Drosophila melanogaster: one gene and its partner. The protein of the gene in region 2 purifies or fractionates together with the protein of the main gene of each other region. This does not show direct contact. Each region holds a gene or a part of one and is shown on either strand. Other genes may lie near its edges.

Region 1 (3,369 bases), about 18 Mb from region 2:
ACCGCCCAAAACAAAGACAATCTTTGGCTTCTCTACGCTCATGATTCCGATATTGTGTGGTGGGGCTGTGGAGGTGGTGGTGATGAACCTATTGCTGGCCTTGGAATGTCGCAATTGGTGCTGCGTCAGCGCTGATGGTGCGAGACCGACTCCTGGTGAACCGCAATCGTTGGCTACTGCTCTCAACGTCGTTCGTGCCAAAGCCCGCCACATTGACGACTGAACCAAACTGAAGGCAAATTGAATGCGTGGTTTATGTGTATGCCGCCTGCAGTACACCTCACCACTGTTTTCCACTGGAAACGTAACACCCTGTGACGTCACGCACAAGCGCAGCTGTTCGCGGGCGTCCGTTCGGCAACACTGGCGCCGGCTTTAGCGGGAAGCGAACCAATTTGAATGGCATTTTATGCAGTTTACTTCCGGTTCGATATTAAATAAATTAAATTTAATTTAAATATTCTTCTACAACATTTTTAAATGTACCCTTAAACATGCAGCTTTGCAGAGTTTGATTTTTAATTTTTTTTATTATCATGTATATTACCTGCTAAATAAGTCTTTTAAATTAGCTGCGCTTGGTTGTTTTGTATCAAGTCGGCCACTAGTTGGTAGGGAATAATATGCTGGGAGCCGGCCGCCATGTCCACCTCCTCATCATCGACGCCCACGATCACAGCGGGCACTGGAAAGCAAAACAAGAGTTAAGCGGTTATCTTAATTAGATGACAAAAGGTTATTACCTGCCACATTTGCCTTAAGAAAGACATGGCTCATCAGATTGGGCGTCACAATCCTCTGCTCCGCCTCTCCTCTCTGCTGGTTGGGCATGTACTGGGTGGCTACTTTGTGGAAGTACTCATCCACATTACTGGCAAACTCCTGGGCGAACTTAGTCTCCTCGGGAGACAGACGTTTGTCATCCGGCTCACGGCTCTCCTCCTGGTTGAGGATGTGCTGCGTGAAGGTTTCGATCTTCTGCAGGCGGCAACGCAGATAACTGGCCATTATGTAGCGCACCCTCTCCAGTTCCATGGAGTGCACCACCGCTCGGAAATCGTTCTTGTCCAGATCGCGCATCTGCTCCTCCATGTGGGCCACCTGGGAGACCATCAGCTCCAGCATGTCCGTCTGGCTGGGCAGGATCTCCGGCGCACACATTTCATTTATCCACGCGGTTTCTATGATTTCCAGAACCTAGGGATATCAGAATGTGATTACTTGCGTATTAAAAAGCTGTGTTACGATTTACCTTACCTTCTGAGCTGTAATCTGTTCCATATCGTCATCATCCTCATCCTCCAGTCCGGCGCCATCGCTGACATCGATTTCTAACTGGGTTTCGGGCACGTCTTCTACATCCGACATGGTTTTATTTATTTGTTTATTATTTTGCAGATTTTGGCGCAAATTTTGGGAATCGTTGGGAATGTCACTCCAGTAATACAGTTGACGTTTTTCATCACTGTTTCATTTGTTTTTACTCCGTGTGAATGGCACGTCTAACCGTTATCGATATCACAAAAGCATGCGATGGCAGCCGCACAACAAACTGAATTCCAAAAGAATTTTAGAGTGATTGTAGAGAAGATCTTCAATCACTGGCAGGATCTCCGGCTGGCGGTGGAGCATGGCATGGGCGGACGCAATGGCCAACAGGTTGTTGCTCGTATACCCTGAAACCGTCTTCTTTTCTAACCTAATCGGAGTGTCCGTTTTGTAGGTGGCCATAGAAATCATGGACTACACCTACCAGTACTGCGTGTCCAACGAAAATATCACGCAAGGCGAACTGGTGGAGGTCCTGGAGGAGCTGATGGACCAGGAGTTTAACACCCTCTGCGACGACGACTCCATTCCGGAGATCTGCCGGAATCTGCTGCGCTACAAATTGATGGCCCAGCAGAACCAGTTTCCGCAAATAGAGGCTGAATTGAGTAAACTTCCTGCTGGCAAGGAGTGGCTGCGTCCGGATGTTAAGATCACCTACACACCCATCGATGGGGACTCCTCATCCGATGAGGACATGGACGACAGCGACGAGGAGGACGATAATGAAATGGGCCAGGGCGACGAGGAAACTCCCAGCGGCAGTGGTCGGATGACGCGATCGCAGGCACGAAAGCAGCAGGCTGAGGAGTTTGTGGAACCGGAAGACGGCTGGACCACCGTGCGAAGAAAATGAATTTCGTCGGGATGATTAAAAAGAAACCTGCTAGTTTTTTAGTTATAATACGCTGTATTTACTTCCTGGAGGTCCAGAAAACGCAGTGGTGGAATAGGTGCACGTGTCACAGGTTGGTGGAAAGTCCTGCACAGGTTGCAGTTCACTGGAGAGGCCTTCTTTGATGCGGAATCCTGGCTGACCTTGCCTTTTTGCAACTGCGACCAGGAGGTGAACTCTGTCCCCTTGGGCAGTGCCAGCTTTGGATCCACCACCGAGGCAATGGAATCAACATCCACTGTCATCGATAGATTTATGGCAGGATAGATGAGGAAGGCAAAGAACCAGGCGAAGACCAGCACCAGAAAAGGCACAAATACGGCAAAATACTTGTCCGGCAGATACGAGTGCAGACCAAACTCCACTGGCAGCAGCGCCCAAGTCACGTATACGAGGAAGAGGACCGTGAACAGCATATAGAAGGCGAAACCATAGACCGCCCTATGGGGAGTCGGAGCTGGAGTGTGTTCCGGCATTGTCGTTGCTCTCGGGGATTAGTTTCTCTTTCTTGGAGTCTCCGAACTGGTTGATGGTGTCCTGGCACAGGAGCAGGCACTCAAAGAAGGAGGTGATGGCAGTGCGCAGGCTCTTCACTTGATCCGACTGAAAGTGCACAACCAGAACATCGTTCTCCAGGCTCAAAGTTTTTTTCACGAAATTCCGGCGCGGCTCCTGGTCGACACCGAGGACTTTGTAGGCGATCTCGGCCAATCGTGGCGTCTCAAACGGCACTCTTATTATGCTAATGAGGCGAATATTTATTACTAAATTTATGTTTATTTCTTTGTTAAATGGTTAAACTTACGATTCATTTGGTTTATTTGCAATTTGTGGCATCATAAAAGTTTTAACCAATCTGAAATGCTCACATGTCAACGGAGAAAGTTAATGACAATTTATGAAGAAGAAGCATTCACCGGCTGTTTATCTCGTGAACAGCTGATTGAAGAATTCAAATGTTTAAAAATGAGCATTCTTCATAATCACATTTATGTTTTAAATTAAGCGCTTGTTAAGTTTTTGAAGTTAATAACAATGGGAAATAAGCTGTCAATTAAAACGTTAATTTCTTCAATTTGTGGTTTCTTTATTACAAAAAAAAGGTGTTCAATATCATTGCTCCAAACAAATCCTTCTGGTAAATG
Region 2 (5,246 bases):
CATGCCGGAGCTAAAGAACTACCAGGGCGGCGGCTATGTGGCGCCTGCTTTTGAAGTGGATTTATCCAAACTTACCTACAAAAACGCCCAGAAAGAACAAGTCCGGCAAAAGAAAATGGAAACTTACGAGCAAACGGGAAGCTGGCCGGGCCAAAAGCAGCACAAAAAGCGTGTTGAGTCCTGGGATCAGACAAAGAAGGCAAAACTGGATGCCAAGTCTAAGAAGGAGCTGCGCAAGGCGAAGAAGCAGCGAAAGAAAGCGGCAGAGGCGGAGGCGAGCAGGTCCGGGAAGGGAAAAAAGAGGCAGCAGTTCAGCCAGGAGGACCTCGATGAACTGGCCAGCGATATTCGGCTCTTCAAGCGGCTGAAAAAGAACAAGATTAGCGAGGAAGATTTCGACAAAGCCATGGGCATCGAAGGGAACAACGATTGACATACTCTGGGGCTGATTTGTATGCACAATAAAAAATATTTACGGAAGTATAAATTTCAATTCAAATACCTATTTTAGTATAAATACATACATAAGTATATCAAACTTTATTAGACCGAAAATGGGGGTAACAAAACATGAATACTATAACTAAATGAGATGAAGTAAATGGCTGAAACTTAAGCTGTGTTGCCGTCGACCACAATTTGAAGGATGATGCGTCGCTTGGGATCGTAAGAGAAGCCATTTGTGCGAAACAGATCTGATTCGTAGAACGGCTTCAGGTTTACAATATCCAGCTGCTTAGCCCGTTCGATCAAATCCCGCTCCATAATCTCCACATGTGTGGCGCCAGGCCCGTCCTTGCAGCGAATGTAGGCGAGCTGGTCGAGCGTCAGCTGTCGCAGAATAAAGAACAGCAGCTCGGAATGGTCCTTTTGGAAGGACAGGTACTTCTGGAATGTGCTGCGCATCTTCTTCATAACGCTGAACTTCTGCGCCTCGATAAAGCTCTCCAACATCATGCGGATGGCCATGCTGACATCTGCCTCCATTACGTTTTCGCGCAGATGCATCCGCGCGTGCGCTTCGGACATTCGGATGACACTCTCAATGTGACGCACCGTAATGGGCAGTGAGCCCGTGGCAAAAGACTCCTGTCGCAGCTGGGCGTACATCTTGGCGATCTTGTCCTCGTCGATGTTCTGTATGAAACGGAAATGTTGTTACACTTTTCCTGTGATTTCAATAAGTTCGCTTACCGTTAGCTTGGGCCGAATGTTCTCCTTAGCGTATACAATGTATTGTCGCAACAAGTCCTGCGGGATCTCATCAACGGTCTTCAGCTGTGGTTCCTCCAACTCCGGCTGCTCCTCCTCACTCGGGTGATGCTTCATATGCGAGTGTACCACGAATTTGGCGAGCTGCTGATCCTGCATGGGGTCAAATTCGTCCTTCACCACGCACAGCACATCGAAACGGGACAGGATGGGCTCCGAGAGATTCACGTTCTCCGAGAAGGTCATCGACGGATCATAGCGACCGCCAATGGGATTGGCAGCAGCAATCACGGTGCAACGAGCTTGAAGAGAGGTGACAATACCAGCCTTGGAAATCGAAATAGACTGCTGCTCCATGGCTTCGTGAATAGAGGTACGATCCTGGTCGTTCATTTTGTCGAACTCGTCGATTAGACAAACTCCCTGATCAGCCAGAACCAGAGCACCCGCTTCCAATGTCCACTCCCGAGATACTGGATTGCGGCGCACATAAGCCGTGAGACCCACGGCACTGGCTCCCTGCCCAGTCGTGAAAACCGCACGTGGCGCAACCTTTTCGGTGTACTTGAGGAACTGCGACTTTGCCGTTCCGGGATCTCCACAGATGAGTAGGTTTATATCACCTCTAACCTTGTGTTTCTCACCGGGATTCTTTGACTCACCCCCAAAGAGAGCTAAGGCCAGCGCCCTCTTGATATAATCATGTCCGTATATAGAAGGCGCCATGGATGCTACTACACGCTCTACGATACGCGGATCCTTGCTCAACTTCTGAATGGTGGCAATGTCCTCGTCCGTAAGCGACTGCACTACCTGCTTGGAGTCCTTTACAACCACATGATTGGCAATAATCACGGTGGCAAACACGGGAAATCCTTGGTCGGTGTTCAAGGAGCCATCGTAGTTATTGGTATATATACCTGTGACCTCAAGTTCATCTCCAGGCTTGCATTGATCACACAAATCAGCGAGCAAAATGACATCCTTGCTGCGAGGAATGCGTCCGGCTGGAATCCTGCCTGGCGACTCCTGCAACGTGATCTTTTGATAATTTCGATACAACGTCTGCTCCATGTTGATTGAGAAGGGTCCAGTGCTCTGGCACTCTGGGCAGGAACCGGGCTTTATCTCCGTATTTTGCGACTGAACGAAGGGACCCAGCACATAGCCGCACTTAACGCAGTCGTACTTGATCACGGATAGCTGGGGAAGAACTCCGGTGGTGGCAGTTACCACGCCCAAAGTGCGAACCAACTGGTTCAGATGCAGTTTTCTGAATGTGCGCAGCTCCTCGATCAGCGGCAGCTCCGAGATGCGCACGTGAATCTCTGTGGTGACACGTTCGTAAGTGGGGAAAATGGAGAGCACCATGTCCTTAGCCACTTTATCGAAAATCTCGAGCATTTGAAAGGGAGCCTCGGGCAGGAAATAGGCCAATACGTGTTCCTTGTTGGCCAGATCAGTGTAGGAGACGACGAACGAAGACATGTTCTGCTCGCACATCCGACGTATGCGATCACGATAGGTGTATGCGCCCCTTTCATCCACAAAAGTTCTCAAAAAGGATTGAAAGCGATTGGCGATTTCCGTGCGTGGTCCTAGCATACTGACCCACTCTTTAGTTGAGTGTCCCTTGGTATCCTCCAGGTTTTCAATAGACTCCACCATCTCGGTGTCCTCTACCTCGCCAACAGCTGCCTTCTCGCCAGCTCGTCTCTTGGCCCGGGGTCCAACGTCGTCCTCATCATCGGACTGACCGAAACCCAGATCACGATCGTCGCGGTGGATTCCGGCGGCCCGGTCGCGTCGACGCATCTCCGACTCGGCGGCAAAGCGATCGCCCTGGGACATCTCCGAGAAGTCATCCTCGTCGTCCAGCAGCGCCGGATCGTAGTGATCCAGCTCAGGCATGGGCCGGTAATCGTTCTCCATGTTGTCCCCGAACAGCTCCTCGCCATCCTCCTCCTCGGCCTCATCGCGAACGGTCTGATCTCCCAGGATCTCGTCCTCGTTCTCGAACGGCTCAAAGTCGCCAACCGGCGACGTCATTGCTGCCCGCAGATCGCGGCGTTCGGCGGCATCGCTGGGCGTATTTGGCGGTGGTGAACTGGGATTGTCCATTACGTGCGTCTGTTGTGCTTAGCGTTTATCTGTAATATGTTTTGTTTTGTACCGCCGATCTTGTTGTGACGACGCGTGCGAAAATGCGCGGGAAAATGTTTGCTAATCGAGCCAACTCAGGGCTGCGGTCTAGTTCCGATAAGCAGTGCTGTTAACGTCTGGGTCATACAGTGGACACCCGCTTCTGCATACATGTTTATAAGAACACCCGACTGTAACAACTTTCCTTGTGTCAATAAAATATCACCGAGTTTAAAGAGCTTACAAAAAATTTTAAATATATATATTACACCATTCAATTTAAAAAGTTTACAAGGCACTGAATGTAGGCTTTAATACAAAGAATGTGTCAATAAAATATCACACAGTTATTAAATATTTATAATTCCATTGAAATAGAAATGCTTACAATAACTAGTTGTGAGCATTAACACAAACAATGTAAGTCAAGCTTAAAGCTATGTGTCAAAATAATAGACAATTATTCTCAATATGTTGCTGTAGGAAATAGTAATAATAAAGTAAAATAAATGTTTTCTCTTAAGCAACCAAAACTTTACTGCCCTGAAATACAGCTCTAACTGGAAAGCAAATTGAACTAGTTCCGCAACAACTGATTCAAAATTACACAGAAGCCCTTCCCGCCTCTTCTAGCTTCACTTTGTACCCAGCCCTCGACGCATGAATTATATTTGCTTGTGAAATTGCCCAACTTATTTTTATAATCAAAATGGTCCTGGCATCTTTGTCCACTGGTGTGATTGCTGTAAGTATGCCAGCTTAAAATAATGGATTGGTATAGTAACACATCGTACTACCGGCCACAGCGCATTATGCATGGCGAGGTTGTGGATGCCCCGGTTCTCCAGATCCTGGCAATCAAGAAGATTAACAGCGCAGCGGACTCAGAGCGCTATCGCATCCTAATCTCCGACGGCAAGTACTTTAACAGCTATGCGATGCTGGCCAGTCAGCTGAACGTGATGCAGCACAATGGAGAATTAGAGGAGTTCACCATTGTCCAGCTAGATAAATATGTGACCTCACTGGTAGGCAAGGACGGAGCCGGAAAGTAAGTACGCTGTAAAACAGACTTTCGACAGTATAGTAACATATGTTTTCCTTTTAGACGCGTTCTCATCATTTCCGAACTAACTGTGGTGAATCCTGGCGCCGAGGTTAAGTCCAAAATTGGCGAACCCGTTACGTATGAAAATGCAGCCAAGCAGGATCTGGCGCCTAAGCCAGCAGTAACATCTAATTCCAAGCCAATTGCCAAAAAGGAACCGAGCCACAACAACAATAATAACATAGTAATGAATTCCTCTATTAATAGTGGAATGACACATCCCATTTCTAGCCTAAGTCCCTACCAAAATAAGTGGGTGATTAAGGCTCGCGTGACCTCAAAATCCGGCATTCGCACCTGGAGCAATGCCCGCGGCGAGGGCAAGTTGTTCAGCATGGATTTAATGGACGAATCGGGCGAAATTCGGGCCACTGCCTTCAAGGAACAGTGCGATAAGTTCTACGACCTCATTCAAGTGGATAGCGTGTACTATATATCAAAGTGTCAATTGAAACCGGCAAACAAGCAGTACTCTTCGCTGAACAACGCCTACGAGATGACTTTTTCCGGTGAAACAGTTGTCCAGCTTTGTGAGGATACCGACGATGATCCCATACCGGAAATTAAGTACAACCTTGTTCCTATTTCCGATGTGTCGGGTATGGAAAATAAAGCAGCGGTAGACACAATAGGAATTTGCAAGGAGGTGGGCGAGTTGCAATCATTCGTAGCTCGCACCACAAACAAGGAATTCAAGAAACGGGACATAACCCTAGTGGACATGAGTAACTCGGCCATCAGCTTGACCCTTTGGGGGGATGATGCCGTTAACTTTGACGGTCAT

Evidence for each region. Proteins that work in one complex are often made in the same cells at the same time.
Region 1: the proteins of Mcm2 (region 2) and Sld5 purify together in Drosophila melanogaster (affinity purification with western blotting; 2 studies listed by BioGRID, with this or other methods). This does not show direct contact.

What each region holds. Positions count from the first base shown.
Region 1 is NT_033777.3:26,055,124-26,058,492, forward strand, and holds Sld5 (Sld5), read right to left. Parts: upstream 1,425-3,369; 5' UTR 1,369-1,424; coding exon 1,258-1,368; intron 1,198-1,257; coding exon 744-1,197; intron 686-743; coding exon 564-685; 3' UTR 534-563; downstream 1-533. Other genes in the region: Cmpk (Cytidine/uridine monophosphate kinase 1), read right to left, coding at 1-213; CG14543 (uncharacterized protein), read left to right, coding at 1,534-1,659, 1,724-2,185; PIG-P (phosphatidylinositol glycan anchor biosynthesis class P), read right to left, coding at 2,224-2,700; Tcs6 (Threonyl-carbamoyl synthesis 6), read right to left, coding at 2,666-2,966, 3,030-3,064.
Region 2 is NT_033777.3:8,263,188-8,268,433, reverse strand, and holds Mcm2 (minichromosome maintenance 2), read right to left. Parts: upstream 3,465-5,246; 5' UTR 3,334-3,464; coding exon 1,195-3,333; intron 1,138-1,194; coding exon 613-1,137; 3' UTR 510-612; downstream 1-509. Other genes in the region: CG9630 (uncharacterized protein), read left to right, coding at 1-433; RPA1 (replication protein A1), read left to right, coding at 4,064-4,099, 4,161-4,405, 4,463-5,246. UniProt on the Drosophila melanogaster protein: Acts as a component of the MCM2-7 complex (MCM complex) which is the replicative helicase essential for 'once per cell cycle' DNA replication initiation and elongation in eukaryotic cells.